Linked DNA regions of Xenopus tropicalis. The protein of the gene in region 2 purifies or fractionates together with the protein of the main gene of each other region. This does not show direct contact. Links are inferred from orthologs where the notes say so. Each region holds a gene or a part of one and is shown on either strand. Other genes may lie near its edges.

Region 1 (16,697 bases), on a different chromosome or scaffold from region 2:
AGTTGGCAGTTGTTGCAAGGTCCCATGTGCTCATAACAGGCAGTATAGATCTGCTTTTGATGAATTAAGTGCAAGCCCTGCATCAATAGGTGCAGAACACGTGCACCAAAAGAATAGGGCGCACATGTCACATGCAGGCTGAACACCAGAAATTATGCCAGAAATATTTGGCACAACTGCACCCAGTGTGTCCAATTTGGTTAATCGGACACAAATGTGGTAGGCGTAATTGCATCAAGAGAATCATCTGTTTGGGTGCAAAATGTTGCTGGGATTCTGCATTGTGGGAAAACACATGGCTATTGCACTTGAAATTGCACTTTGCACTCTGCACCCAGGGTTCCACATCATTTGTTGGCCAGCTTTTGCAAAGTTCCCTGCAGTTGCACCTTTATATCACATTGTATAAAAATGGGGTTATATATATCTGTTTCATAGACAAGCAATCTACCCTAAAGAGTTGATTTCCTGTTACCTTGTGAATGAAAATGGATACATCTGGAATAACTTACTTAGAGAGAGAGAATACTTATGGAGCTATTCTTTCGAATGAAAGCTGAAGAGAACCAGCAGAAGGGAGTCACCAAAGGTCTGCTTTCTCTTTTCTGGAGTAGATCCATTCCAAGAAACATGTTTAAAGGAACAGTTCAGTATAAAAATAAAACTGGGTAAAATAGACTGCACAAAATAAAAAATATTTTTTATATAGTTAGTTAGCCAAAAATGTAATCTATAAAGGCTGGAGTGGACAGATGTCTAACATAATAGCCAGAACTCTACTTCCTGTTTACAGCTCTCTAGTCTCTTAGTTAGTCAGTGACTTTAGGGGGGCCACATGGAACATAACTGTTCAGTTAGTTTGTGAGCACACAGGTCAGATTCAGAAGCAAACTAACTGAACAGTTATGTCCCATATGACCCCCTCTCAAGTCACTGATTGGTTACTGGATGCTAACAGCTTAGACTTAGAGAGCTGTAAAGGAGGAAGAAGTGTTCTGGCTACTATGTTAGAAATCTTCCCACTCCAGCCTTTATTGATTACATTTTTTCCTAACTAACTGTATTGAAAACATTTTTTATTTTGTGCAGTTACTCAGTTTTATTTTTACACTGAACTGTTCCTTTAAGCTGCTGCTGGTTAACTATGCTTTTTTCAGTTTTTTTTTTTTTTTTACTATTCCTTGTCTGTCTTCAACCACTACCAGGAAACAGTTGTTCGTTCATTACTTTTGTCAGCCTATCTCACTGGCCATATACCTAGCCATATACCACATACCAGAAGTATGATACTTTGCCACCATGACCATACTCTGTTTGTCAGAATCCCCAAAACTAAGTGGTAGATAAAGGTGCAGGCAGCAAAACAGATTGTAGAATGAAATGAAAGGGTATTTATTTACCTAAATGAAATGGTTTAAGATTGCATACCCAATAGCAATGGCTAGCCACACTGTTTGGGAACTACTTCCCTGTGAGAAATGGCACACAGTTGCATACAATTTGGGTGGGATGCTGGGCCAATTTTTGGTGAACTTTAAACAGCTAATCCTGCTATAAATAAAAAAAGTAATTACTAAAAAAAATAAAAAAAATTACAAAAAATGTAATTCATTCATATAACCACATCTATAAAGGCCAAACTGACATAAATTAAGCATATGCCTTCTTTACATTTTCTTTATACAGGTTATAAAATAAAAGTATCTTCACCAGGTGTTATTATATCATGAAATGGTAGAACTGATTATCTACTTGGTTGTTTTTTCTTACCTGATTGATTGATCTTAGGGCTGTTTCAGCTTCTGATCTTGAAATATTGCCAGTATACCACTGGTCTTGAGACAGGCTCTAGTATATTAAATTACATTGGTTAAGTGTTCCCCACAGTAATGAAAACATTTAAATGCAAGAATTATTTGAAATCGTGCAAAAATATTAATACAAAGTAAACACTTTTTTTTACATAACTATATGTTTCTGCTAAGATGGATAAAGATGCATTAAAAGATTACATGTTTTACTGTGGTTACTGAAACCACATGTGAGTTCCTGAACTCCAAGCCAATTACCTCGGACTGCTGATCATTTTTTTACCCGAGTATTTTTTTTTCAAAAAAATAAAAAGCTTGGCAGGTTTTAGGTAACCTCGGCAGGTTAAACTCATACATCTGTAACCTATTGCTCAAGCCCTAAGGCCCACTCATTAATAAATCTACCACCACCCTTAATTAAAAGGGTGAAACCTTGCTCTTGCAACATCAAATATAAGGCAGAAGCCTATTTTTTCCTCTTAGTATTGCCTTTATTATTTATATTTGAACGACGTCCCTTATTAAATGGATTAAGGCTGTCTGGACTTAAAAATGGAGGCAGGGGAGCTTTGACTGGGTTAGGCAGGCTTAGGAAGAAGAGGGTTAACTGGAAGAGTGAGGGTGGGGGGGAGGAGTCAGTGAGCGAGGAAGGAGCAGGAGTTTGGCCAGAAGCCTCACTTTGTCTCTGGCAGCAGTGGGTAGCAGCATCCCAGGAGCCAAGAGATACAATCTGTAGTTCATGGTGGGTATATACAGTAGTAGCAGTTTAGTTGGCAGGGGAATGCTTGTAGGAGTGGGGAATGGAGGAGGTATCCCCCCCCCCCATCCTGTAGAGTTGGTTGTGACCTCCCTGGTTATGGTGCTGGGACAAAAGGGTTTGAGCGAGGCTTACTTGCTTCTACTTGCCCATCCATGTGCAGCAGCACAGGGATGGCTGGCATGGCGGGGGGCCCATTCACTCAGTGGAGTACTATGGGCAGTGTCGGACTGGCCCACCAGGATACCAGGAAAACTCCCGGTGGGCCCAGTTGTCAGTGGGCCCTCCTGCTCCTGAGCATTTGGCCTACTTCATGGCCATTCCCTATTTCTGTATGGGAACAAAGAGGAAAAATAGATGGAAGGATAGATGCTAGCATGTAAGTAAACATAATAGGAGAATAAAGATGTTGAGTGAGGAAAGAAGGAAAAATATTTTGGAAAGTGGGCCAATAGTCTATGGTTTTCTGTTGGGCCCCTGGGGTCCCAGTCCGACACTGACTATGGGCAAGCATTCAGCATTTCATTTGTACCAGCTGATACATTATATAGCTTTAAGAAGGGGCTGGATTGCTGAGGTAATTCCAATATTTACAATGGGTTTATAATATCAACTTGGCAATCATAGGTCAGTAGGTTTGGCAACTGTAGTGCTAAAGTTATTGGTATCATGCATAGTTTTATTAAGATGAGATCATGCATTTGACATTTGTACTTAGAATTTCTGATGGGGTAAAGCTTTTGATCTACATCACTATTTGCTTTCTGGATTTTGTAGAAATGGTCTCTAGTTTTACATGATCTGGTTACCTTACACTAGATTAGTGTATTAGTTATCATCACTGTAATAATATGTAGTATAAATGCTACAGGACAAGACATCTCCTGTTTGATCCAACTTGCAATCAAAATTTAAAAGGGATTCTTTACTTTTTCCTCAGTGTGCTGTGTGTTTCTCACTATGCTTCACTGATCTGCCCATACTTGTCCATACTAGGCAAGTGATGAAATTAAATATCAGGGTTTCTGGAATAAATATGGAAACATGAACTTTCATTGCTATTATGCGTGCTGTGAGTCTGGGCTGGTAACAGTGAGCTGAAAACACAAAGTAAGGATTTCTAGCCTACTTTTTTAGTTGACCTTTAAGGGAACACAACAAGTGGAAACTAAGTACAGGTATGGAACCCATTATCCAGAGTGCTCAGGACCTGGGGTTTCCAGATAAGGGATCTTTCCAAAATTTGGATTTCCATTCCTTAAGTCTACTAAAAGATAATTTACACATTAAATAAACCCAATATGATTGTATTGCATCCAATAAGGATTAATTATATCTTAGTTGGGATCAAGTACATGGTATTGTTTTATTATTACAGAGAAAAAGGAATTCATTTTTAAAAATTAGAATTATTTGCTTATAATGGAGTCTATGGGAGATGGCCTTCCTGTAATTTGGAACTTTCTGGATAATGGGTTTCCGGATAATGGATCCCATACCTGTACCTCTACCTTATTTCATGTATATAACTAAATTCTGCCATATAACTAAATGATGCTATCTGCTGCAAATATGTCTAACTTATTACCTCTTTTTCTGTTGCTGAAGTCTGATTATAGCTGGTAGGAATAGGAGCTGGCGGCCTGCCGTTACATGTTCCTTCTGAGAAAGACCGATTCATATTACCTAAAAGTACCAAGAAAATTACCATGGAACACAGTTCACAGAATGGTCTGAGATAAACATCTCTTTTAAAATAAGGTTAAATTAATTTACACTAGATTACTGTGAATAACAGTATAAAAAGGAGAAGAGTGTGGTACACACTCTAGCATCTAAGTATTAGAAATGTTAATAGTAGCCCTGGCCAGCATCTTAAACATTTGAAATACAAGATAATAATTATCCACATATGGTTGGGTCTGCAGCTGTATTATTAAAGATATACATTCAGATGAAGCATGTTTTCCTGGGACATGTTTATAACTGTGTAATAGATGATCTGCACATTTCTTCTGTCCCTCAGCCTGTTTAACAGATCTTGTTTGTGCTAAGAGACCCTGCCCCTTAATCTTGAAGCTTTGTATCTATTTATAAAGTACTGCTGTGGTTGCCCTATGCAACTTGCCACGGTTTGCCCTATGACTCAGCCAATGCAACTTGCCACGGTAATGTAAGCAAGACCACTGTCCCACTGAACATTGACACAGCTATTTGGCTTCCATTGATATAACTTTCCAATTAACTTTTTAGTCCTGCTATCCTGCAAAAAATGTTTTGGTAGGCCACGAGATACCTTCCGGGCCATTTCTGAATACACTCAGTATCCCTCTTAAGTGGCTTTTGGTTGAGCATAAGTAAAACCTAACAAAATACTAAGAAAATATTGTCTAGCTTTTGATTCAGCTTTATAAAATAATAGGTACATACTTTAGAGTCATTTTAACTTATTGCTGCTGTATTATCTGTATTTATTATTATACTTTGTATTTATCTATTATCTTATTAACACCCTGTTTGTATTAATGTATTCTACTGTACAGCGCTGCGTACATAAGTAGCGCTTTATAAATAAAGATATACATACATACATTTTGAATCTGTATCACCAGTATGTTCTGGCCCAACTTTTTGGGCATTCTCCTGTACTGATATATCATGATATATCGTGGCTGTTTGGGTTTACTAAGAAAACACCTTCAGCTTTCTTTGTGGGGCATGAATATAGTTATGGATATAATCATTTTGGGGACTTGAGTTTGTATTTATACAGCTGTGACAACTCTGTCAGCCTTTACTTGAGGAATCAATGCATAAGTGTTAATATTTAAAAAATAATATATAATACCTTGTTTTACTTACCTGGTTTATGAGGGGGAGGTGCTGGTCCTGGTGGGGATGGACTGTCGATATATATAAACAGATGAAAAAAAGCACATTTCTTAGTTTATTACTCAAGAAATTAAAGGTCTGCTAGCACCAAAAATGAAAATTATTTATTTGATTTGGCATCCCATTTTATTCTACCTTATAAATAAAGAAGTTTTCTTTGATGATTTGTTGGTCATGTATGGAAGATTTAAGGCAAGGTTTGCTGGTACAGGTATGGGACTCGTTATCCAGAATGCTCGGGACCTGGGGCTTTCCAGATAAGGGGTCTTTTCAGATCTCGTACCTTACGTCTACTTAAAAAATTATTTAAACAGTAACTATCCAATAGGATTGTTTTGGCTCCAATAAGGGGTAATTATATCTTAGTTGAAATCAAGTACAAGGTACTGTTTTATTATTACAGAGAAAAAGGAATAATTTAACCATTAAATAAACCCAATAGGATTGTTCTGCCCCCAATAAGGGGTAATTATATCTTAGTTGAGATCAAGTACAAGGTACTGTTTTATTATTACAGAGAAAAGGGAATCATTTAACCATTAAATAAACCCAATAGGATAGTTCTGCCCCCAATAAGGGGTAATTATATCTTAGTTGAGATCAAGTACAAGGTACTGTTTTATTATTACAGAGAAAAGGGAATCATTTAACCATTAAATAAACCCAATAGGATAGTTCTGCCCCCAATAAGGGGTAATTATATCTTAGTTGAGATCAAGTACAGGTACTGTTTTATTATTACAGAGAAAAGGGAATCATTTAACCATTAAATAAACCCAATAGGGCTGTTCCGCCCCCAATAAGGGGTAATTATATCTTAGTTGGGATCAAGTACAAGGTACTGTTTTATTATTACAAAGAAAAAGGAAACAATTTTTAAAAATGTGAATTATTTGATTTAAATGGAGTCTATGGGAGATGGGTTTTCCTTAACTCATAACTTTCTGCATAATGGGTTTCTGGATAAGGGGTCTGATACCTGTATAGGATCTGTTTTCTGAAATGATTGGGATTTGGGCTTTCTGCATAAAGGATTTTTAGGTAATTTATATCTCCATACATTAAGGCTGATTATGCAGCGTAGTTACAATCAAGTAACAGATACTGTTTAATTATTACAGGATGAAGAAAATCATTAAAATAAACCCTATGGGGGATGGCCTCTCTGTAATTCAGGGCTTTCTGGATAATGGATCTCATCACAAAAATTGGGTAAGGAAGTTTTTTAAACTAAATGACAAAATGACACTTAAAAACATACTTAAAAGTACATCATTATTTAAAATGTTCAGCCTTATTGTCACATACCCTTCTGTAACTGGCAATCCAGGAAATGAATTCTTCGCAGACGGCCTTGGAGGAAAAGTATTTGAGGAAAATCCAAGGCCTCCTGGTGGAGGAACTTGCCGCTTAGGTGCTGTTTGTATAAAAAGTACATTCCTTTTAAAGTTAGGTTGCTTAAAGGAAAACTATACCCCCAAACAACGTAGGTCTCTATAAAACTATATTGCATAAACAAGCTCATACTGTATGTAAAACCCCGCTTCATCTAAATAGGCCATTTTCATAAAGATATACTTTTTTAGCAGTATATACTATTGGGTACTCCTAAATAGAAAATTGCCATTTTAAGAATTAAGGGCCGCCTCCTCGGATCATAGGATTCACAGTGCACATAAACAAGCCAAAGCACACATACATGCTAGGCCCCATCAGCCAATAGACAGAGTTCTGTCTTTTACTCCCACACTAATTCCTGTTACAGTTAGAGCTGCATTATTTCCTGTCAGGTGGTCTCTGAGGGAGCACCCAGCCCATCACAACGTGGTGGATCAAGGGAAGTGATGTAAAAGGGCAATATTTACTGATATATATTTATATATATATATATATATATATTCCAGTTTGGCGAGATTCTTTAATAAGTCAACATAATATAAACTATCACTTTAAGTATTCATCCTAGGGGTAAAGTTTTCATGGATTACTACTACTGAATGTCTTAAAACGGATCTATTATGTGCTTGCTGTGTGTATATATATTTTATTAAATCAATTTTTATATCTAATACAATGTAGCTAAACAAATGTAAATGACAAATTATTTCTTCATTTTAGGTTTTAGTGTATATTTATATTATGTCTATCTATTACATTTGGGTGCTTTAAAGTCAGGGGTGAAAAGCAGGGAATGCTGCTAGTGATGATTGAATCTGTCCCATTTTGCTTTGCCTAAAATTTGCAAAGTAAAATTCGCAAAACAGTGAAAAATCCGAGAAACGCGTTTGACACGTGGCTTTTTTGTCACACAAGTCTTTTTTTGTTGCATGCGTTTTTTGGGGTTTTTTTTGCTATTTTGCAGCGACCGTGTCCATTTTGATGCGCCCGTGCTCATTTTGACACGTCCACACCCATTTTTCATATTCAGACAGTTATTTAGTTACACTGTGCATACAAGCAAGACTGTTTGGCTTACCATCTTCTTCTGGCTGCAAAAAACAACAAAACAGGTTATTATTAGTGTTATCGATGCAAAAAACTCAATTACAATTCAGATACAACACATTAACAATGTTTCTGGTGTTTATACTTATATTATAGAGAAAGAGAACGCAATTTCTTTTTTTTATTAAAACACCCATACCTGTTATAAATGTAATTAAAAATACAATAGATGTCACTTCACTCCTCCCATTCCCCCTCCCTCCTGACTGCCTATAATTATGTAGCCAGTAAATGGGCATCAGGTCCCATATTCTGGTACATGCACAGAATTTTGGAATGATACAAAGCTTGCCTTAATAACAGCGCCAACAAAATGGTTCCTGCCTGCTTGTTGTGATTGTGAATTCCAGACTGAAGGAAGCAAGATTTAAGTAATTTATATAATGTAAGTAAAGTTTATTTTGCTCCACTACCATGATAGAAAAGGATTTTAAATTATCACTTAGGGTGACAGGTCCATTTAAAAAAACAATTGATGCAGAAAATTGGATAGTGAGAAAGACAAGGTTTTTTTACACTGATAAAACCAATTCCCTTCTTGATTTCATATTGAATCAGCTGTACATAACAACTGTTACAGTATGTACAGGTATAGGATAATTTATCCAGAATTCTTAGGACCTTGAATATTTTCCAGATAAGGGATCTCTTTCTATTGCTGCTAAAAACATTTAGTCCAATAGGGTTGTGTTGCTACCAATATGGATTCATGGTACTGTTTGTGTATTCAGACCTACTACTTACATTGAATCTTTTGTCCATAGGTAAACTGGGCCTAAAATGAATAATGTAAAGGAAATTAGACTGACAATCTATGTTAAAAAATGTACATAATTCCAATAACTAAAATATAGTAACAATATTATTATCATCATTATTATGCAGTACACTTTTTTTTCAAATTAAATCTCCTACTTTACAGCTGAAAAAAATGGATTTTGTCACTGATCCTGGCCATGTAAAATCCCCAAATAGGATGATTCCATTTTTTTAACCATTTTTTTAAAAATAAATACTGAATACAAAGAGCAAAACAAACAGTTTTGGGAGATTTATCATTGCAAAAACATGCCACAACCAATTCCGTATACTGTACCTTGGACTCGGTATTCTCCTTTCAAATGGCTGATTGTTTCTTTCAATGGGAACGGGGGGTTTTATAAGATTTGATAATTTTTCAGATGCCTGTTGACTAAAACAGACATAAATATTCAGCAAAAGCCACTGCAGTCACATTTTGCCTGGAACAATCCAGTTACTTACCTGATACCTGCATGTCCAGTCTGAATCTAGGTTAAGGAAAAACAAGTGCAACAATTATACATGTAGCCATCCTCAAACTGAGTTTTCTTAATCACAGATCAAGATTAGTTAATGAATACCCTGGATCTTCAGTTCATACAAACTGGAAGCTAACAAGAGGCATCACTATCATTTCTTTGTTTTCGTATGTTTAAAGGTGTTGATCACCAATATTTTTAGATAAGTAAGTCCGATTTTTTGTGCCTATGTTGAACAAAGTATAGATATGCATATAATTCCTCTTTAAAGGAGAAGGAAAGGTAAAAACTAAGTAAGCTTTATCAGTAAGCTCTCTCCCCTCTCCTGCTTCCTCTCCCACCAGAATGCTAAGAACTCCCTCGCCCCTCCCTTAGGAATGTGTGATCTCAGCTATAACGGCTAGACTGCAGGCAGGAAGCTACTAGAAATGGCAGCTTCTAAAGCAGTTTACTCAGGTATGGTAGAATAAATATATTGTTCTAGGTGGCGCTAATGTGGCAAATCTACTGGCAGTACAATTCCAAAATGACTTTCCTTCTCCTTTAACAAGCCCACAGCAAAACAGGAGCTTCCTCTACAAATGGGGTTAGCTGTGCATCTTGGTACACAAACTGCAGTGTGGCTTTAGAGAGGGTGGGGTTGTGCCTTGCAAAATAATTACAATTAAGGAACTGTATTGCATCTGCAAATTCTATATTAATCACTGTGTATAATTAGAAAGCCAAGGACTTTTGATAAAAAATAATGTAGGACCAGTAGTATAAACCTGAAATTCCCTTGGCTTGTGGATCTGACAAATATACACTGCTCAAAAAAATTAAGGGAACACTTAAACAACACAATGTAACGCCAAGTCAATCACACGTCTGTGAAATCAAACTGTCCACTTAGGTAGCAACACTGATTGACAATCAATTTCACATGCTGTTGTGCAAATGAAATAGACAGGTGGAAATTATAGGCAATTTGCAAGACATCCCCAATAAAGGAGTGGTTCTGCAGGTGGTGACCACAGACCACTTCTCAGTTCCTATGCTTTCTGACTGAAGTTTTGGTCACCTTTGAATGCTGGGGGTACTTTCACTCTAGTGGTAGCAGGAACAAAGATTGGCAAATTCGCCACTGGCGCCCTGTGCTCTTCACAGATGAAAGCAGGTTCACACTGAGCACATGTGACAGATGTGACAGATGGCGATGAGCGAATTTTTTCGCCAGGCATGGATTTGCAGCGAATTTCCGCATTTCGCCACTGGCGAATTGTTTAGCAAAATTTCTGTGAATATTTGATGCGGAAAAATTCATTGCGCGTCAAAAAGGGTACGGTCACGTAAAAAAAGGTCTTGTTTGCGTAGAACAAGGGCGCAGTCGCATCAAAACGGGCCTGGCCACGTCAAAAAAGTGTGGGCGACAAAAAAATATACACGGGCGACAAAAAAATTGAATTTTTCGCCTTTTCACGAATTTTCTTGCCGTTTCACGAATTTTATGGCGAAGCAAAACGGGACAGATTCGCTCATCAGTAGTGACAGAGTCTGGAGATGCCGTGGAGAACATTTTGCCTGCAACATCCTCCAGCATGACCAGTTTGGCAGTGGGTCAGTAATGGTGTGGGGTGGCATTTCTTTGGGAGACCTCACAGCCCTCCATGTGCTCGCCAGAGGTAGCCTGACTGCCATTAGGTACCGAGATGAGATCCTTAGACCCCTTGTGGCACCATATGCTGGTGCGGTTAGCCCTGGGTTCCTCCTAATACAAGACAATGCTAGACTTCATGTGGCTGGAGTGTGTCAGCAGTTCCTGCAAGACGAAGGCATTGATGCTATGGACTGGCCCGCCGGTTCCCCAGACCTGAATCCAATTGAGCACATCTGGGACATCATGTCTCGCTCTATCCACCAACACCACGTTGCACCCCTGACTGTCCAGGAGTTGGTGGATGCTTTAGTCCAGGTCTGGGAGGAGATCCCTCAGGAGACCATTCGCCACCTCATCAGGAGCATGCCCAGGCATTGTAGGGAGGTCATACAGGCACGTGGAGGCCACACACACACTACTGAGCCTCATTTTGATTTGTTTTAAGAACATTACATCAAAGTTGGATCAGCCTGTAGTGTTTTTTTCCACTTTAATTTTGGACTCCAAATCCAGACCTCCATGGGTTGATAAAGTTGATTTCCATTGATAATTTTTGTGTGATTTTGTTGTCAGCACATTCAACTAAGAATATTTAATTTATTCAGATCTAGGATGTCTTATTTTTGTGTTCCCTTTATTTTTTTGAGCAGTGTATGTTACCTCAGATGCCCCAGCTTTACCATCTCTGCTCTACTACTACTTTTTCCCCCTCTCCTGGACAGGTCTCCTTGCCTTCTTTTGCCTCTGAACCTTTACACAGAACCTGTCCATTGGTATGTTCTGTTCTTAAGGCAATTCTTGCAAACTGCAGTTTTCATTGACCCTACTTTCCTTACTTTGCATACTTTCCATATCTCATGCAACTATGTGTAATTCATCAGGCTGCACTAGCAATATAACAACAAGCTGTATGTAGCATGTATGTGTGCAAATAACTTTGCTAAATAGCAGCTAAGTGAATACACCTGCTAATAGCACCTCAATTTGCACTTTGTAGTTGTGCTTACTTACTCCTTTTTGTGTAAATAAGCCCTCATATGTTTATATTTATTAGAAAGGGCAAGTGGGCAAGCCACTTTTTATCACATCATATTTTGATTGAGTAATATAAAAGCAAAATTCCTTTCCAGCTTAAAACACAAAACAGCTTTTCAACTATGATACAGTATCTATAACAAAGTTAAAAATTATTTTATTTTAAAGTTATTTTTTTACCTTTCCTGGAATAGGTGGTTTCCCTGAAAAAGTGAGAGAAGGAGAGAGAAGGGATAATAGCAATTAATATAGTAATAATATAGTGTGTAAACAGTGCAATGCAGAACATTACTTTGTGCACTTGACAAAAACTACATTATTACTTTTTTTTATTAAAATAAAGTTGCAGATATGTGCATACAGGGGAGACTACTGTTACAGGGGGCAGTAGAATGTATTCCAGTCCCTTGTAATATAAGCATGTCAGGACAACATGAGAATGAGACAGAACTAATGGAAACAAAACTCTTTCAGGAATCTACTGTGCACTTCAGTGCAAATCACCAGTATAATAGATCACCCTGATACACTGTCCTGAGACTACAACATATGTATGATGTAGAGGGTGATATTCTGAAACAATCTGCAATTATTTAGCTTCTTGTTAAACTCCAGATTTTAATTTAATTGCCTGGCTGATGGGTTCTAAATTACCCTAGCAACCAGTCAGCAATTTGAAAGAGAGACTGGAATTTGAATAGGAGAGTGACTCAAAAGAAAGAAAAACAATGAACAGTGACAATAACAATAGTTGTTTGGCTGCCTGAGTCAGTGACACACATCTAAAGCTGGAAAGAGTCAAAATAAGCCAGTAAATAATTTAAAAACTATACAAATTGATAATTTGCTAAGAATTTGCCATTCTATAACATACTAAAAGTTAGATTAATGGTGAACCACCCCTTTAATTGAAGTTTATACTTAAATTTGCCAAGGACGGGCATGGATTTGCAGTGAATTTCCGCATTTCGCCATTGGCGAATTGTTTTGCGAAACTTCTGTGAAAATTCGCCTTGGAAAAATTAGTTGCGTGTAAATTTGTTTTGCCACGCGTCAAATTGGTCGCGGCAAAAAAGCGCGGGTGACAAAAAAAATAGACGCGGGCGACAAAAAAAAAAATAGACACGGGTGACAAAATATAGCCGCTGGCGAAAAAAGGCGCGGGCGACAAAAAAAATCGTGCGACAAATGCGTTTCGCAAATTTTTCACCATTTCTCAAATTTTCTTGCCGATACCTCTTCCAACATTTGGCGGATAGGTCATTTCAAAACTTGGCTTGATTGTACGATCAATGCTTGGACCGAGTGCTTCAAAAAACAGTTAAAAAGAATATAATGAACAAAACAAATGAGACCAGACCAAATGTATAGTAAATATTATTATAGCAAATGAACACAGATACATAAAATACTCACTATTCGCTCTGTTTTCTTGATTTGATGAGGGTGAATACCCAGGAAACTGATACAACAAACAAAAACAATAAGAAAAAGTTTCCCTTTTACTATGTCTCTGTATGTAACTGCTTATGTTAGATAAATATTTGCCATCTTTGGATATCAATATTAATTGCGGGAAGCACAGAGATATTAAAACATTCTAATTTCATTACTGGATTGCCCCCTGATAGTTTGTATGAATTGGTGGAAGCATGGGGAATACTGTCGTTGCATTTTGGGTCAGCTGATGGTCATCATTCAACCTTGTTATGTTTTTGGTTTATCAGCTTTGGTACAATTGCACTGAAGGTTGATTTGCCAAGTCAGCAATTTCTAGGCATCTCTTTCGGACAATAGATCTTAGAATGGAATCAGAAATAGAAAATATACATGCCTGGTCAGGGTCCTAAATCCATTGCTGGGTTGAATACTAATGGGGGTATGTAATAAAAGGCACTAAGTCTGCCCTGGAGCTACCCATAGCAACCAATCAGCAGGTAGAATTTACTGGTCACCTCTTTAAAAGCAAACAACAAACATTTTATTGGTTGCTATGGGTTACTGCTACTGGACAATAAACCCAATATGGGGGTAAGACTACAATATGTCCATTTTCCACCTTCTTGCATCCAGACAATAAATAATGTCCCTTCTTTACCTGCATTAAAATTTAAATATTAAAATTTACATTTAAAAATATTAAGACAACACTGCAGAGACAGTTTTTTATTGGGTTTAATCTAAATATATTCATATATTATTTTCATTTTTTTAGGTCAACAAACAACTTACAGTATGTCCCCTGTTTGGTGGAAGTCCTGGATTCCCCGGCCTCTTTGGGGGCTCTGGAGGATTTTTGGTAGAATTTCCAAACTCTCTGTCTAAATATTCAAAAGAAATATTTAATAATTAGAAATGTTTATTAACTCAAAACTTCAGAATGTCTAACAATAATATGGTCATACATATAAAACAGGAGCTTGGCTTGAAGCCTTGCTTGCATATTAAGCACCTTTCCATCGATAAACATTTAGGGGGAGATTCAGTAAGACCCGAACGCTGGAGCATTCATACGAACGCTCCGAGCGTATTCTCGCTGTTTTTTCCGCGTGCCCGCATAAAAAATTCGGAAAGGCTCTGCCGCTGTTTCCAATGGACAGTACGAAAATTTTGTGACTTTCGGATCGTCAATACGATATTATCGTGAGTAATATGATTTTTTCGTAAGCATTTTCGGGATATTTGAGATCTTTAGAAATTTTTGTTTCCAATCCGAATTTTTCCCATTCGTGATTCAAATTTGTGGATTAGTAAATCTGCCCCTTAGAGTATATTTAATTTTTTTTTAAAATAATAAAGCATATTTTTCCAGATTTTTTTCCAAATTTTTAGAAGTGTTAATTGTATGTAAATTGAGTTTATGGGTTTATGGTAATTAGAAAGGTACACAATGTACCTAATTTACCTGCATAGGGGGAGTTAGTTACATTTGGCTTTAATTGAAATATGGGAGGATGAGCATCTTCAATATTGGGAGGAGGTGGCTCATAATCTCCATTTTCATTTTCATCCTCTTCATTTTCTGATGCTGGGCGTTCATAGTCATCATCATCAAACTCATTGGGACTTTCATAATCCTCCTCCTGTTCATATGTACATTAAATATGGATATAAAATTAGTAATCAGTTGGATATAAATGACATTTTCACATACTGAGAAACCATTGCCCTATACCTTGCCAATACATACTTCAAAAACTGCAAGTAGTGAATGGTAGTGATAAGCAAATCTGTCACATTTGCAAAACTGCTTAAAAATGTGTGTAATGGTAAAGAAATTTGGGAAACATGGCTTCCACACCACTTGATGCACACAACTTTTTCCTTATTTGTCTGTGACTTTTTTTTTTTACACCACGACTTATTTTGATGCATTGACCAGATTATAGGTTTAGGCCATGACCAAGACCTGCTAGTCAGATCTGAGGACAGATTACAGATTGTGTAACAGAGGATGCCCCTTCTTCATTGCACTTCATAAAGCAGAAGGTTGCACTGCCCATTAAGATTAGATGGGTTTAATATTTGATCTGAGGTGTGCTCCATTTTTTTTTTCTAAACTCTAATCTAACTGCATTATCTATCTGAAATATATCACTTGGGTATGATTACTTACAAATGAGTCAGAGTCAGAAAATTCTTTGTCTTCAGGAATAAATTCTAAAAGAATAAGGAGATAGGATAAATTGCATTTATTAAGACATAGGGCTATGCCACACACTGAGCTACTTGTAGCCAGTTCAATAACAAATTGTCTTTGCTAAAACACTAGTAGAAACAATTATCAGTGGTGTCTATTTAGTAGCCACAACAAGTAGGCTGTGTGTCATTGCCATTAAAGGAGTAGGAAAGGTACAATCACTGGGGGGTGCCAAAATGTTAGACTCCCCCCAGTCGCTTACCTGTTTGGCGCTCCTGTTAGCAGAAAACTGCACCAGCCCAGGGTAGCTGCAACTGAGCAATCCTCTTCCTCGACTTTCTTCTGAATCCCGGGGCCCTGGTGCAATTCTCTCCTAACAGGAGCACCAGCCCGGGGTATAAGGTAAGCGATTACTGTCACTGGGGGGTGCCTAACATTTTTGCACCCCCCAAATGATTGTACCTTTACGTCTCCTTTAATGCTAAAGAAGAATCCAAAAACCATTTGTTATATCCTTATATCAACAAGTACTGACAATGACACCTAATAGTATGAAAAGCTTTTATCTTAACCCCCCCTTGTAACTAAGCTGAAACGCTAAGCAATGGTACGACACTGTTATTCCGTTTATTCTGAGATGAATTTGAAAAACCTGCTTCCAGCATCAAGGGACAATATTAACAGGAATCTAAGCTTCCAGTGATAAATGCACAGATGGAGCACAATTTATTTTCGCATCAGGCTCACAGACCATGCACAGCACTTACATTTCATTAGGAAAAGGGTTGTAGCAGTGTGAGGCAGAAATCTATAAAAAAGTGTTCTGCTTCTGTAGTCAATTGAGAAAAAAGCAATTTACATGCTTTATTTATATGCGCATAGCTATGAAGTTTTTCAATGCTCTTTAAACAGAAAACAAACTGGTCATACCCCATCTTTGCTTTTTTGGAGGGTGGGAGGTTGTTACTGACTAGATAAGGAACCCTCTAATGGTAAATAAAAAGGTTGGTCTAAGGCCAGGATGTATAGAGTCACTGTTGCCCCTGTGAAAACTTACCCCAATGGCGAATAGAAAAAATAAAAAATATTTTAGAGTATCCACTTCAAGAACAGAAAGTAGTGTGCTTCATGCATATTATTT
Region 2 (17,257 bases):
CCCCTTATTGGGGGCAGAACAGCCCTATTGGGTTTATTTAATGGTTAAATGATTCCCTTTTCTCTGTAATAATAAAACAGTACCTGTACTTGATCCCAACTAAGATATAATTACCCCTTATTGGGGGCAGAACAGCCCTGTTGGGTTTATTTCATTGTTAAATGATTCCCTTTTCTCTGTAATAATAAAACAGTACCTGTACTTGATCCCAACTAAGATATAATTACCCCTTATTGGGGGCAGAACAGCCCTATTGGGTTTATTTCATGGTTAAATGATTCCCTTTTCTCTGTAATAATAAAACAGTACCTGTACTTGATCCCAACTAAGATATAATTACCCCTTATTGGGGCAGAACAGTCCTATTGGGTTTATTTAATGGTTAAATGATTCCCTTTTCTCTGTAATAATAAAACAGTACCTGTACTTGATCCCAACTAAGATATAATTACCCCTTATTGGGGGCAGAACAGCCCTATTGGGTTTATTTAATGGTTAAATGATTCCTTTTTCTCTGTAATAATAAAACAGTACCTGTACTTGATCCCAACTAAGATATAATTACCCCTTATTGGGGCAGAACAGTCCTATTGGGTTTATTTAATGGTTAAATGATTCCCTTTTCTCTGTAATAATAAAACAGTACCTGTACTTGATCCCAACTAAGATATAATTACCCCTTATTGGGGGCAGAACAGCCCTATTGGGTTTATTTAATGGTTAAATGATTCCCTTTTCTCTGTAATAATAAAACAGTACCTGTACTTGATCCCAACTAAGATATAATTACCCCTTATTGGGGGCAGAACAGCCCTATTGGGTTTATTCAATATTTAATTGAATTTTAGTAGACTTAAGTTATGGAGATACAAATTACAGAAAGACCCCTTTCCTGGAAAACCTCAGGTCCCGAGCATTCTGGATAACAGGTACCATACCTGTAATTATGCTCGAAATTGCATTTTCTCAGGGTGCAAAAATTTGAAAATGACCCCTCTAATGTGTTTCAATTAACGTCTCTAAAAATAACTGACTCCGACACAAAGCTGCAAAGTGGGGGATATTGAAGAATAACTTGATTATTTCAGAAACAATGTACAATCTATAGTTAATATTTCCTGAAGAGGAAGTTTATATTCAGTTTTCACTTTACAGTGGAATCCTTAGCTCATTCCTTCAGAGCAACACGGCAAATTCACAAGCTAAAAACCGGAGAGACAGTCGCTCGTTCTCATCCAATGTAAACGATAAAAGTGTGACATGCTATGGATATATGTTTAATAACATAATTATAACAGTATCTCAATTCCAGGGAGTATACTAGAAAGGGTGAGGCTTAATGCATTTCCTGGGTAAAAAGGTCACTTCATCAGAAAATAAAAAACACGCCCCTCCGCAGGATGAATGCGGTATTAAATATAGATCCTACCGATCAGTATGGGACAGTATGGTAGCCTGGGCTTAAAGGAGAAGGAAAGTCATTTTGGCATTTTACTGCCAATAGATTTGCCACATTAGTGCCACCTAGAACAATATATTTATTCTGCAGAAACCATTACCATACCTGAGTAACAGCCCTAGAAGCTTTCTCCGCTTGCTTACGATAGCAGCTGCCATTTTAGGTAGCTTCCCTAGGGAGGGGGGGAGGAGTTCTTAGCATTCTGGTAGGAGGGGGAGCAGGAGAGAGGAGAGAACTGCACAGACTCTGGCCCTGGGAATTAAGGATGTTTCTGAGAGAGGAAGTCAGACACTGGAACAGCATGTTTACAAAAAAAGAGACAAAAATACTGTGTTTCTTTTGATAGAGGACTCAACATTACTGTAAGTTCTTATGGCTGTATTTACATAGACCTTTCTGATGGTTACACTTCCTTAGTTTTTACCATTCCTTCTCCTTTAAAACATGATTTTGAATGAAGAGGATAACAAATATCTTTGGAATTTAGCGCCATCTATTCCAGTCTTTCACTGATTTCCTGAGGTCCATAAGGAGAAAGTCAAAAAATGTCCCATTAGCATCAGATCCCTCAATGAAAGGTTGGCAGACGGGTATTTTATTCATAGAGTTGAGAAATTGCCCAGTTATATCAGGGACAGCATTGATTCTATTAAAAAGTTGAACACTACAGAATAGAGATTAACCTATAGTATAGGTGGCTAACCATGGGCGTGTTTGTTGACTCATTGTTGATATGGGAATGGTTTGGCAGCCATTATGTTTTGGTTAGATCTAAGTAATTGTTAACCTGAGATTCAGTACTGCATCTAATTTAGATTTATTCTCTACTTCCTCAGAAAAGCTGGCAAAGGTACCACGTTTGGCTCCATCCAATGCCAATCTTTTTATGGGGCGTTGGTGCTAATCCATACCGCCACTTTGTAATTACATTTACATTAATTACATTATATCACTATATAGACAATCTCACTTTTGTGTGGAATGGTGACTTGGAGTCATAGTCGGTCCGACTAATTCAAATGTGAATAAAATGAGAATACACCATTTTTTGTAAATTATTCATGTGATACCTTTGTGGTCCTTAGTGATCCTGTTTTCAGTTTCCATCATGGTTTCTACGGTATGATCTAGGAAGGGTTATTTGCTAAAGACAACTGGCTGCTACAGATGTGGGGGCTTACAGGGATCCCCAACCTTTTTCATGAGTTGATGAGCCACATTCACTTTGGGTTCCATTTTTTATGGATATTTATGCTTGTACAAGTATAGGATCCATTATCCGGAATCCTATGATTCAGAAAGCTCAGAATTATGGGAAGGCCATCTCCCAGAGACTTCATTTTTATCAAATAATTCACATGTTTGAAAATGATTTCCTTTTTCACTGTAATAATAAAACATTTCCTGGAACTTGATCCCAAAGTAGGATATAATGACATAAAGTAGGGGGAAGACTCCTTATCTGGAACACCCCGAGTCCTGAGGATTCTGGAGGTCCCATTCTGAAACTATACCAAAACAGTGTGTTAGGGGGCAGTGTTTGCCCCCTAACCTGCAACAACCAATCAAATGTTTGCTGTCATTACACTAGCAGCTTGCTATAGGTTACTGCCCCGTTACTGTATAACAAGCTATTGCACAAATACCATATTCTCCTTATGTTACAGTAGCAGTTGCACCCATTCTGGGGACACACACACACAACCAAGGACAGAAACCCCGTGGGGTGATGTTTACTCACCTATTCAGTACGGGGGGCAAAGTGGCGAATACACGGTGTAACCCTGGTGCAATGACAGTCACATTGTAACGACGCCGGATAAACTTGCCGATTAGGAAACTCGCTCTCACATATGAGAATACGGGTAGAGGAGGAATAAGGAACTGGCTTTTAAAAAGGAAGCTGAAAGTGAAACCTGAGGAACATTGTTCAATTCACAGATCTGATTAACCCCTTTATTACAGGAATATTTCTTCATACGCTGGAGGCTTTCCCCCCTCCCCCATCTGTGAGTGCTGTTAATTAAGTGTCACATTTTGCACGGAAAAAGAGAACTCAAGCAGAACTTGCACACTTGTAAATCAACGAGGAATCTTCCCTGCATACGAGGCTATAGGTCAGGCCCGGACTGGGGTTCACTATAGGCCCTGGCATTGCAAGTACACAGAGGCCCAAACAGCCCCCCACAGGCCCAATAAATACTGACTGTCTTACAGCAGCCCTTCTGGCATTTGCCACAATCCACAGATTGCCAGTCCGGGCCTGTATGGAGACTTCTATATTCTGTTTCACTAATACTTCATTGTGCTCGTATTTAAGCGCATTCATATATTTATAATTGTAGATTTTGATGTACAGGTATGGGACATATTATCCAGAATGCTCGGGACCTGGGGTTTTCCAGATAAGGCATCTTTCTGTAGTTTGGATCTCCATACCTTAAGTCTGCTAAAAATCATTTAAATAATGGATCAACCCAATAGGCTTGTTCTGCCCCCAATAAGGGGTAATTATATCTTAGTTGGGATCAAGTACAGGTACTGTTTTATTATTACAGAGAAAAGGGAATCATTTAACCATTAAATAAACCCAATAGGGCTGTTCTGCCCCCAATAAGGGGTAATTATATCTTAGTTGGGATCAAGTACAGGTACTGTTTTATTATTACAGAGAAAAGGGAATAATTTAAACATGAAATAAACCCAATAGGGCTGTTCTGCCCCAATAAGGGGTAATTATATCTTAGTTGGGATCAAGTACAAGTACTGTTTTATTATTACAGAGAAAAGGGAATCATTTAACCATTAAATAAACCCAATAGGGCTGTTCTGCCCCAATAAGGGGTAATTATATCTTAGTTGGGATCAAGTACAGGTACTGGTTTATTATTACAGAGAAAAGGGAATCATTTAACCATGAAATAAACCCAATAGGGCTGTTCTGCCCCCAATAAGGGGTAATTATATCTTAGTTGGGATCAAGTACAGGTACTGTTTTATTATTACAGAGAAAAAAGAAAATCATTTTCAAAAATTAGAATTATTTGCTTATAATGGAGTCTATGGGAGAGACGGCCATTCCATAATTCAGAACTTTCTGGATAAAGGGGTTTCTGGATAACGGATCCCATACCTGTACTGGAGGTAGCCTGGTCAGTATGGGCTGCATAACATGGTGGTAGTCACTGGCCTGTTGGGCAGAATTGTACTAGGCTGCTATGTAGCAACATGTTTATCTGCTTGAAGTCTCATGAATGATTATGTGTTACCAAGTGATTGGCTAGTCACATGATGCTGCTGTTTCTAAGGGTGAATACACACGGAGCTACTAGTAGCTGCTACTTGTAACTGCTACTAAAATAGACAAAGCTGATCATTTACTGATAATTGTCTCTACATGTGTTTTAGCAGAGGCAATTCTCAGTATTGTCTATTTTCTGGAGTAGCTGTGACAAGTAGCTGCTACTAAGTAGCTCTGTGTGTCTTCACCCTTAAGGCTGAAAGGACTTTTGATCAATGTCATGTGTGTATGTCAGCGAGTTATAATGTATGGATGTGTTTTTGGTATTATTCCCTACACTTGAACAATACCTTAAGGGTCATATACTACCGCTCGCATGCTTCAGCACTATTTCCACACTAAACCCCATTCATTAAATGATTCATGAAAGGAATACTGTCATAGGAAAACATCAGTTAATAGAGCTTTTCCAGCAGAATCCTGCATTGTAATCTGTTTTTCAAAAACACAAACAGATTTTTTTTCATTTAATTTTGAAATTTCACATGGGGCTAGCCATATTCTTCATTTCCCAGGGTGCCACAGCCATGTGACCTGTGCTCTGATAAACGTCAGTCACACTTTACTGCTGCGCTGCAAGTTGGAGTGATATCTCCCCCCCAGCAGCCGATCAGCAGAACAATGGGAAGGGGCAAGATAGCAGCTCCCAGTAGGTATCAGAATAGCACTCAATAGTAAGAAATCCAAGTCCGGCTTGGGACTCCTCCAGTTACATGGGAGTAGGAGAAACAATAGGTTAGCTGAAAGCAGTTCTAATGTGTAGCGCTGGCTCCTTCTGAAAGCTCAGACTCAGGCACAATGCACTGAGATGGCACCTACACACCAATATTACAGCTACAAATACATTTGTTGGTTCAAGAATAAAAGTTTAAATGGTAGAGGGAATTATTTGCCATGTAAACAGTATAATTTAGAAATAAAAAGTACCCCATAAAAATCATGACAGTATCCCTTTAAAGGTAGTTGCGTCAAAATACTCTCTTTGTGCTTTGATCCCTGCGCTTGCAAATATAAATGAGCCCTCATGTGCTTTATTTAGTAGCCAATCATATTGTGCCGCAACCTTCGCTAGCATTATTAGCCTGCTCTTGGGTTCAGTCCAAGGTGTGCAAACAAACAGCTTCTGGTTGGTTGGGACTCGTGGCATCATTGCTTTTCTTTATTTAACCTCAATTACCCTTCATGCAGTTTTGCACTTATCTTGCCCTTGAGCAGTTCCTAGGAAGGTGATCTGAATGGAATTGTGAATGCAGTTAGGAGCTGGAACACTAAGGAGGCTCTAGCTTTTTCATTGGTTTCCATCAAGTTCCCATTTAGTATTTGTTATTGTACCTATATTTCCCATGGGGCTAGCCGTATTCTTCATTTCGTCCCAGGGTGCCACAGCATGTGACCTGTGCTCTGATAAACTTCACTCACACTTTACTGCTGCGCTGCAAGTTGGAGTGATACCCCCCCCCCAGCAGCCGATCAGCAGAACAATGGGAAGGGAGCAAGATAGCAGCTCCCAGTAGGTATCAGAATAGCACTCAATAGTAAGAAATCCAAGTCCGGCTTGGGACTCCTCCAGTTACATGGGAGTAGGAGAAACAATAGGTTAGCTGAAAGCAGTTCTAATGTGTAGCGCTGGCTGAAAGCTCAGACTCAGGCACAATGCACTGAGATGGCGCCTACACACCAATATTACAGCTACAAATACATTTGTTGGTTCAAGAATAGCATTTTAAATGGCAGAGTGAATTATTTGCTATGTAAAGTGTCATTTAGAAAGTACACCATAAAAATGATGACAGTATCCCTTGAAAGGGGCTGTAAACGCCTAAAAACACCTTTGCTAAAAATGAACACAATAAAGAGGGCCTATGTTGAAATTACATTCTGACTATTGATTTAATTTAACAGGTGACCAGTAAATTCTGCCTGCTGATTGGTTCCTATGGGTTACTGCTCCTGGGCAAACTTAGTGACTTTTACCACCTAATCCCATTTATGTATTTTATTGTTATATTTAGAACTGTATTATAATATAATTTTCTTTTTAGTTGAGATCATTCTGCTTAACTGCACCGAGCAAATCTACAATGCACATTCCATCGCCGGAGAGAAAAGAGCAGACAGGAAGATAGAGAAGATTGGGGCATCAGCAAGTCTTCAGGCTTCTTCCTCTTTCACAGTGGGGAATTTATTGCAGAATATTCTTGCTCTAAGAACAGACTTTCTACTGTTCCCAAAAAAACTAAAAAAAAAAACCTCTAGTTCCTTCTAAGTGGATATTTGCATACAAATATAATTATGCAAACCATGGCTCAAGTATAATATTAACGAATATAAAAGTCCAAATAGGCATGTAAAGAGAGAAGGCCTAGGCTAGCCTTTTATTATAGCTATCTGTATTTATATGTTCCAGCTTAGAATTAGAATAAATAAATATCCCAAAAGAGCATTATTTTGGATTGATATTTCTGATTTATGAACATGATTATAATTATTACGCTTTTATTAAGTTGTTTTATTTTTAGACTCTTCCTTATTCTACTTGTTTCATAGGAGATTTAACGTTACACAGTCCCATCTCAATAGACCCAATAACACAGGCAGACTCTGACTTTCGACCGATACAGGCTCAGCCTAAATGCTCTTTTGCTCCTTGATCTGACGGTGGGTAGGGCTCAGCTATCAGGTACCTTGACTAAAGGTAATTGCTCCTGACTGCAGTACAGAGGAGACTACAGAGCCTATCTGGCAGCTTCAGAGCAGTAGTAAGCTATTAAAAATTGCTGCATTTTAAAGGAATGTTAGGAAAGGAAGTGTTAATGTCTAAATCTATATTTATATTTGCTTTTATGAAGGTGTCACCATCTCAGTTTGCAGTTTCACTCTATACAAGCTACTGATTAACTGCAATTTGACTTGAACTTACGTCTTGCTGCAGTTTACTAGTTAAATGGAACTTTTATATACCACTTTTTGAGAATTCACCCCATCAGATTAAATTTATACAGTTTTGGACACAGTCACGGGCCGATCTGTCTTTAGCACAACTGCAGGGATCAATTTGTGAGTCTTCTTTTAGTTCTTTGAGAACTTCCCCATAGCAATGCCTATAGTAGCAATGCAATAATTAATGGCCTCTGGGAAGGGACTGTGGCTGTGGGATAGCAGGTATAGTAGGGAGAGATGGTGCCTATAGTAGCAGTGGGGGGATAATAGCCTCTGGGAAGGGATTGGGGCTGTGGGATAGCAGGTATAGTAGGGAGAGATGGTGCCTATAGTAGCAGTGGGGGGATAATAGCCTCTGGGAAGGGACTGGGGCTGTGGGATAGCAGGTATAGTAGGGAGAGATGGTGCCTATAGTAGCAGTGGGGGGATAATAACCTCTGGGAAGGGAATGTGGCTGTGGGATAGCAGGGGGATAATAAACTCTGAGAAAACATACAGTAATAACATTAGAAGATGTGTATTGTGGCAGTTAAAATAAGTGGAATAGCACTTTGCCAGTAACACATTAAGTGGACTCTGACATGCAGCTATAAGATAAAGCCATATAAGAATACTAAATCACTTTCATTTTTCTGATAAGCATATAGCTCATGGAAACCTGTCTCCCAAAAGAATGCAGATTACATATGTATCATACAGCTTACAGTTTAAGCAGAAGTTTCTGTCCCTAAATACATTTCCATCCGGGGCTGGATATATATCTGGCGCAATAACACGAGGGCACTCATGTAAACAACCCATTAATTTTCTTTTATTTAAAGAATACAGTGTACAGAGGGCAAATGTATATGTTGTTGGGTCAATGACTAGTGGGCTCTTTCACAATTTCAGCACAATGCCCCCCCCCCCCCCCCTATACTGACTGTGTCTGACCCTGGTTACACCCACTGACATTTATAGATTGAACACGGGACAAGAAGCCAACCTTATACCAAAAAATGGTTTATCAACCAATGACATCTTCAAATGTGTTCCATCTTTAAACCAATATGCACAGAGTTGGATATCGGCTGGAAGTGATGAACCCCTTTACATGTACCAATAATTGTATGAAAGAACTCCTGTGTATGGCCGGCTTTAGCCAAAATCTGTTGGCTGCAAACTATATGGCAATGAATTATATATCTAGTTTATATGCATTTACCTATTGCATTCTACATGCATGTGAGAAAAAACATATCAATATAATATATTAAAGATTTTGATCCTGACAGAAGATTTATTATTATTTAAAAATAACTACAGGTATGAGATCTTTTATCCTGAAACACGTTATCCACAAAGCTCTGAATTAGAGGAAGGCCGTCTCCCATAGAGTCCATTTAATCAAACTATTCAAATTTTTAAAATTGATTCCCTTTTTCTCTGTAATAATAAAACAGTACCTGTACTTGATCCCAACTAAGATATAATTACCCCTTATTGGGGGCAGAACAGCCCTATTGGGTTTATTTCATGGTTAAATGATTCCCTTTTCTCTGTAATAATAAAACAGTACCTGTACTTGATCCCAACTAAGATATAATTACCCCTTATTGGGGGCAGAACAGCCCTATTGGGTTTATTTAATGGTTAAATGATTCCCTTTTCTCTGTAATAATAAAACAGTACCTGTACTTGATCCCAACTAAGATATAATTACCCCTTATTGGGGGCAGAACAGCCCTATTGGGTTTATTTAATGGTTAAATGATTCCCTTTTCTCTGTAATAATAAAACAGTACCTGTACTTGATCCCAACTAAGATATAATTACCCCTTATTGGGGGCAGAACAGTCCTATTGGGTTTATTTATTGGTTAAATGATTCCCTTTTCTCTGTAATAATAAAACAGTACCTGTACTTGATCCCAACTAAGATATAATTACCCCTTATTGGGGGCAGAACAGCCCTATTGGGTTTATTTCATGGTTAAATGATTCCCTTTTCTCTGTAATAATAAAACAGTACCTGTACTTGATCCCAACTAAGATATAATTACCCCTTATTGGGGGCAGAACAGCCCTATTGGGTTTATTTCATGGTTAAATGATTCCCTTTTCTCTGTAATAATAAAACAGTACCTGTACTTGATCCCAACTAAGATATAATTACCCCTTATTGGGGGCAGAACAGCCCTATTGGGTTTATTTAATGGTTAAATTATTCCCTTTTCTCTGTAATAATAAAACAGTACCTGTACCTGATCCCATCTATACTGAATGCCAAAAATCCTATTGGGTTTATTTAATGTTAAAATGATATTTTACTAGACTAAAGATATGGAGATCCAAAGTACGGAAAGACCCCAAGCATTCTGGATAAAGGGTCCCATACCTGTACTACTACTAATATTTTATATGATTTGTCTTTCTGTTCACACCCGCTGACCTGCTAAGCATATACAGTCTCTCATTCAAACCACCGCCTGGTTGCTAAGAGGAATCCTAGGTACCATATAATGTTTCTGTTCCAAATGACTAAATGTCAATCTAAAGTCCCCATCATTTAGGACACAACAGCCCCAATAAATCAGACAAACCCTTTCATCTCACAGAATCCTACTAGGAGTTATCAGTCTGACAATCTGACAATAAAAGGCATGAATAGCTGCACTTGGGAAGAAATAATTCAGTGGGGAAACTGTGCAGCTCTAGGTGCCAGTCCCTGCCCGCTCTGCGCTATGCTGTACAGTTTCCCTAGAAGCACAACATTCAGCAGAAATATAACCCCACTGGCAGCTTTGTAGCAATTTTAGGGCTAAAAAAAGAAAATTGTGCAAGAACTCACCATTTTTTAACGCCAACACCGATGTTGCATGTAGCAAAGTGCAGAGTCACAGGGCTTAATTATTATCCTTTGCATGAAGCGACTTCCCCTTTTGTGTAGATTATAGAATGTTATCATACAGCTCATATCACTCCTCATATCCACTTACACAGAAACAAGCACAGGGATATACTTTCTTTCCCCATCAGATTTATGAGCCGCACCGACATCTCAACGTGACCCATAGAAGTGCCCAGTCCCAGCCACCTACTGACACTGATTCTTCTCTCATTTCTTCTGCTTTCGAAAGTGTTTCTTCCTCTAAAAGAAAAATGTAAAAAACCCAGCTCCCCGGCTGTGAACTAATACTCCCAGCATTCTCAGTAACATCATTCAGTTGGACTTTACCGCTCCTGGAGAAGAGAGAATCTGGATAATAGACTTCATGATACATCTGAGGCCTTACTTCTCTCTCCACTAAGTGAATTAAATGTTCCATTTCTTCATAGGAAACCATTACAACAATAAAAGGAAGTAAATGCTGACATATATTTTACATTGTGCACAGTAACCCCCTTTTATAACATATTTTAACTTTTTTAGTTATTATTCCAGCAACAGTTGAACTGGAACTCCGGCCTCCAAACCAAAATTTGTTAAAAAGCCTCATACAACACAGAAACCCCTAATATCCCTATTACTGTAACCTATTCCTTCAGAAAGTATGAATAAATAAAATTTTTATATGCTGAAATCGAGCTGCAAAACAGTTCTTTTCTTTCTGCATCATCTCAAATCCTGGCAGGGGAGGAGGGACTAAAGCATTGAAGTTACAAATTGTAACAACTCCTCCACAGCTTACAGACAGCATGCAGGAACTACACAACCCACAATGCATTGCACTGAGATGTTCCTTTCCTTATTGACATCACGTGCAGGGAATTGTGGGATTGGGAGGATGCAGGCTGAAGGCAGGCTGAGGACAGGCGACTACTGTTGCATTTTATTTGAGTCTCAAAGTAGTCAGCCAGATCAGCAGGGCAACAGGGGGTGGGGCTTAGGGAACTGTTCCAAACCATATTTATACATTAACAACCATGTCTGCGTATTTTTTAATGTATGTATATTGCAAAGGCTGCTTGAAATTAAGTTTAGTTTGCAAAAAGCTGTGTTTGGGTTGAGTTTGCCTTTAATATAGGTTATATGCCCCCCATCCATCCTCTGCCCAGTGGGTAGCTTAGATACCTTTACATACAGGGTTCAACTGTCAGGAGACTGTATGCCTTGTCCCTTGATAGAACATGCATGGTGATCTTCTTTGGGAATGACAACAAAGAAAATGGAGCAACAAGGTGAAGGGGAGGTCCATAAAGTATAGGAGAACTGATAAGGAGATTGGAACGGGCATCAAGAGACACTGTGCAGTTTCCTGCATTAAATAGCATTGCCCATACAAGCCGAATGGCCTTTAGCACCACAACACAGACATAGGCAATATATCTGCCTACAGTTTCATCATTGTTAGTTATATGGATTCTGTAAAGGCTCACATTTTGATTGACACAGATGAGGCCCATATGCTTTCTTCTCCCAGTTCCCAGGACAAAAGGCCGAGGTAAATGAGCAACAGATCAGTTTCTTGGATGTGTTGGTAGAGGTGCAATCACCAGTGCATGAGTGTGTCAGACAATAGTTGCTGGAAATGAAGCAGTTGTTTATTTGCAAACAGTGGCATTTATCAGAGGGGGTTTACCAAAGCAAGTTGTCTGTAGATGAGCTGGTTAATGAACATACATACTGCTAATTGCTCATACATACCACGGTAGGGCTATAAGTACCACTGTAAGGTTATACACACTCATACATACATACATGTCCATCAAGTTCAACTGTATTGCCTCAGTGAAACTTGCCTGCCTGATAGTTGATCCATCTGCTTAATTATCAGTCACCATCTGAAGCCTCTCCCACTTTGCTGGAGAGCAACTGGTGAATAAAGCATCAGAGAGTTATTGTATGGCGCCCTTATATATGAATACATACATATCATACCCCGCTTAAGCACCTTTTTTCTAGCTTGAAAAATCCAAACTTAGATCAACCTTCTCTCGTACTTGAGACCCTCCGTTCCCTAATTAGCTTAGTTGCTCTTCTTTGGACTTTCCCTAGTTCATTAAAGGAAACATATTGGATAAATTGTAAGAACGCTATTTTTGTAGGCAATTATAAATAATAATCGGTGCTGGTTTCCCTTTGGGCTAAACATTAATCCTATCTGTAAAAATGGCCCCTTTATTGGAGCTCCCTATAGATCCTCTCACTTCTTCATCCAGTGTGAAATGAAGAGTGGGCGTGTCCTAACGGTCCCTGCCAGAAGCACAGTAGGAGGGGGAGAGCCAATCACAGCCCTGCAGTCACACAAGCACAGACAGGCTTCAGTTCCCTATCAGGTCAGCCTAGCTGCTGATTGGTTCCTATCCTACAGTGCAGTGTACGGAGGGCCGCCGGCTCCCCAGCTCATTCAGAGAATTCTGCCAGCAGGAAGTGGAACAGATGGGCGGGACGAGTGGGGTTTTTGTGGAATTTCTCAATAAATCAGTCTGAAACACATGTAGGGACCCATAGGGTTAAGCTCCCTATGGTGTTATCCCTTATTCTTATCTTATCTGTATTGTTATAGGGCAGAGCCCTCTGATATCAGGTTACTGTTATTAGGCTGCCCTCTATAGGTTTAGCCCAGGTTGACCACTCCCCTTGTGCAGACTATATAGTGTCTTGAACAAGGAAGTGGCTTCCTCTTTTGGCTGCATGCTGTGTTCTGGACAGATCCCAACTGAGCCTGGACCAGAACATAGGCCCAGAAGCCATTTGTACCCTAGGGGACCACCTACCCTAGTGCTAAGTCGGGGACAGGGCCCCGTGAACGAGGTTAAGCCAGCACAGACAGATTTGTTATAGCACCCTCTAGGAGAGGTGATTGTAGTCAGGTTATTTAGTAAGGGCAGTCTATAGCCCCAACCAGGAGTTGTAACAAAGGGTTTAGTCCACCCCGGCTCTGTAGTCGTTCTTTAGGGACCGGTTTTATTAGACGCCAGGTACCAGTGTTAGGAGCTCTCCCCTGGACCACAGTCGGCCGGAACACTCCCTTCTGAAAGGTCTATATCTCAGGTGTCAACTAATCCTCTGTGCATCCTCCAAGTGGGTTATTCTGTGCCTAAAGTGTCACATCTGCTGTACTATCTGTGACATCATACACTGCTGTGTCTGTGAGTATACCCTGCTGCACTATAAAGTTGTGCCTTTGTCCAATAAATTGTACTATAGTTCATAAGCAAGAATCCTCTGGCGTCCATTATTCTCTATTTGCACTACACACCTCAGCTAGTTGTAGTTCCACTACACCCTCGCTCCATCCTGATTCTCCCATATAGCGGAGGCTCACCCCTTTGTATTAAGTGTCGCGAATGTAACCCATGCTCTCTATTCACTACTAGCCTGGGTTTATTCCAAATTGGGTCAGAAAAGCGTTACACACAACATTTTTAAACACAATCCTTCTATATCTAGAGGAGTATAATTCACTGATACATTCATAATTTTTATAGGATATGTCTCCTTTAATATCCTTTTTAGGGAGTGGAGACCAAAACTGCACTTTCTATTTTATGGGGCCTTACCAGAGCTTTGTATAGATGGAGTATGACCCTCTCTTCCCATGAATCTACACACACTCATTCTTGCAGGGGAATCAGGACACACTGATAGACTGAGTAGCCAAGTGCTAGGTGTCAGGTTATGCATGATACAAAAATATCCAAGCAGCTTTTACCCTAAATGAGATAAAGTTAAGAAAGGACCTGGGGTACTTGTAGACAAGGTGCTGCCCTCTCTTCCCATGAATCTACACACCTTTTAATAGAGGACAGCACCTTGTCTACAAGTACCCCAGGCCCTTGAGCTTGTATTTCATCAGGCCCTGGGCTCTTGTTTACATTAATTTTACATTAATATTTAGATACCATATCCTGCATCAGTCACTGTTTGAACAATGAAAACCTTTTCCCTGTAACATGTACTCCTCTATTGTATACAGAAAAGGAGCCCACATCTTTTTCCTATTGCTATACTTACAGTTTGGGGGATTAGTCCTGGCTTGGGATGCAATCAGTTCCTCCTTTCCATGGACTCCTGCAAAGGGAATACATCTCAGCATGTTGCAAACGCTGATTCACAGGCCTCTTGTCCCTTCCGCAATGCTAGGATTGCAACAGAAGCTGTTAAATAAAAAAGGGAAACTGCAGTGTTGCAGAACATTTTCTGAATATTAATTTTTATCCCTTTTAATGTGAGCAACGACATTCTAAAGATATATTCAAATTTCACACTTAAATGCGGTTTACTTGCCTCATACTGAGTGTTAGCAGATATTGGCATACATTTTCCCCGAAAATCCATCTTGGTTAATAAGGGACAAATAATCTAAAGGATCAGTTGGTGCAAGCTTTGAGCAAATCTGTTAGAAAAGCAGGAGCATGAGTGGATCGAAAGGTATGTAAGTATGATAAGTTCTAAAACACCGGATTCAAAAGCTGGTCTTCATTATATTAATGGGCTTATTTATCAGTTTTTAAGTAAATTTGATTTTGTTCTTCTAAATCGAATAAACTCATATATCCAATGCTTGCTCATTTATTACATGGAGATATTGTCTTGGGGTATTTTTAAGATGTTATTATTGTTTATGTGCTTATTAATTGTGATTTTTCCATGTTTAAAGCTTTAAAGGTCTATGTAAATATAGCCATAAGCACTCACAGTAATGCTGCACTGAGTCCTCTATCAAAAGAAACATGGGATTTCTTGTCTCCTTTTTGTAATTATGTTCTTTAGAATAAGACTTCCTCTATCAGAAAAATCCTTCATTCCCGGACACTGAGTCTGCACAGTTCTATCCTCTCTCCCTTCTCTTCCCCCTCCCATAAGAATTCACCCCCCCTCCCATCTGAGCTACCAACAGCTAAAGCTGTAGCAGAAAGCTATGGAGATCGAGCTAAAAAGGCAACTGCCATCTTAAACAATTGGAAGGAGCTTCTAGGGCTGTTTACTCAGGTATGGTAATGCTTTCTGCAGAATAAATATACTGTTCTAGGTGGCGCTAATGTGGCAAAGTGATGTCACGACACATGAAAAAAAGTATCTTGTAAAAACATTATTGGGAGAATATCTGCACGCTTCTTGGAGGAAATGTAAGTAAGCAATATATATATATATATATATAAATTAGTATACAGGGAGGAGCACACCCTATACAAGTCCAAATGCCCTTGGTGCAGGTCAAAAACACTCACAGTAAATACCCCCACCACACTGTGGGTGTTGGGATATGGTCTGTTGGTTTGTCCCCGAGGAAGAGCACAGATTGTGCTCGAAACGTTGCAATTTTTTCAATAAAACCACTTTTTCTTTTGTATCAAGTCCCTATGTGTGCGGCACTCTTTCTATTATATATATATATATATATATATATATATATATATATATATAGGGATTGAAATGGTACAAACTAGAATTCTCCTTGACAAAGGTATGGCTGGGTAACGTGCTGGTAGGTTGAGTAAGAGTAAAGAGTGGATCGTCAGCATAGGCACAAATTTTGCAATGGGAAGTTCCTGCCTTGATGCCCTGAATGTTTGGATTGTTTCGGATAGTTGAGAGAAGGGGTTCTAATGTTAGCCTACTGGGGCATGATCTGGCCATGTAATGGAGCCTATTGTTTCCTTTTGGGTACTATCTAGTGCTTTGTGAGATAAATATATAGTCGATTCTGTTATATGTGTCATGGCTATGTGAATAGAAGGAGCCATTTTTATCTTGGGGATGGAGAGTTCTCCGGCTATCTAGTAGTTGAAGCCAATGTAGTTGTTGTTTAAGCCTTTTAATTTGTTTCAATGGGAGGGATGATGTTCCAGAGGAGCAGTCTAGATTGGGTTCGAGTGGGGTGTTGAAATCCCCCCATACTATTACCATCAATTCCGCAAACAGAAGCAGCAAATCATGGATCTTATTCATGATATCAGTCTGCTCTGTGTCAGGTAGGTAGATTGAGGCAAATGTGTACGTAAGGGAGTTCAGTTTCCCTTTGAGAAATGTGTCGTTTCCCTGAGGGTCTGTTTTGGCAGCTCTAATCTCTAATTGTAAGTTATTAGTGGGGACAATGGCTGTGCCTCTGACTTTTGTAGATTGTGGGGGGCTGTGTATGATAGTGGAATCAGATTTGTCATAGCATTTCGGTATCTGATTGGTCTTGTAATGTGTCTCCTGGATCAGCGCAACCTGTATCTTTTTAGCTTTGAATTCTTGCAACAAGGCTGTCCTTTCCCAAGGTGAGTTCCATCCATTTGCATTGATAGTGTAGTTGTGGGTGAGAGTTTGGGTTTGGGATAACGCATTATAGATTGTTCCTTCCAACTGGGGGGGAGATATAAGAAGGTCAGGAGAGAAGGGGGGTGAAGAAAAATGGGATATGTACTTTGGGTGGAGAGGGAGTAAGAAATATAATAACTGGGGGGAAATGAAAACCACTAGAGAAACTGGTATGAAATGTTAGGCATCCCTCAGTGATTATAACTGTTTGCCCAATACCCGGGCTCCGGTGCTCCTGTTCACTAAAACTGCACAACCCCAGGGTATTTCTGAAGAAGCTCATTGTCACCGTCTTTTTTGGCTTCTTTTGCCTTCAGTTAGATGCA

The links.
Region 1: the proteins of fyb1 (region 2) and lcp2 purify together in Homo sapiens (co-immunoprecipitation; 6 studies listed by BioGRID and IntAct, with this or other methods). This does not show direct contact. The link is inferred for Xenopus tropicalis from reciprocal best matches to the Homo sapiens genes FYB1 and LCP2.

Annotation. Positions count from the first base shown.
Region 1 is NC_030679.2:32,339,014-32,355,710, reverse strand, and holds part of lcp2 (lymphocyte cytosolic protein 2), read right to left. Parts: intron 15,577-16,697; coding exon 15,533-15,576; intron 15,000-15,532; coding exon 14,822-14,999; intron 14,238-14,821; coding exon 14,149-14,237; intron 13,379-14,148; coding exon 13,333-13,378; intron 13,225-13,332; coding exon 13,153-13,224; intron 12,120-13,152; coding exon 12,097-12,119; intron 9,255-12,096; coding exon 9,229-9,254; intron 9,158-9,228; coding exon 9,062-9,157; intron 8,741-9,061; coding exon 8,710-8,740; intron 7,950-8,709; coding exon 7,937-7,949; intron 6,878-7,936; coding exon 6,769-6,877; intron 5,472-6,768; coding exon 5,431-5,471; intron 4,255-5,430; coding exon 4,157-4,254; intron 1,849-4,156; coding exon 1,771-1,848; intron 1-1,770. UniProt on the Homo sapiens protein: Adapter protein primarily involved in signaling pathways within T-cells, as well as other immune cells such as platelets, mast cells, and natural killer (NK) cells.
Region 2 is NC_030677.2:196,900,009-196,917,265, reverse strand, and holds the start of fyb1 (FYN-binding protein 1), read right to left. Parts: upstream 10,819-17,257; 5' UTR 10,533-10,818; coding exon 10,530-10,532; intron 3,326-10,529; exon of another isoform or gene 3,201-3,325; intron 1-3,200. UniProt on the Homo sapiens protein: Acts as an adapter protein of the FYN and LCP2 signaling cascades in T-cells. May play a role in linking T-cell signaling to remodeling of the actin cytoskeleton. Modulates the expression of IL2. Involved in platelet activation.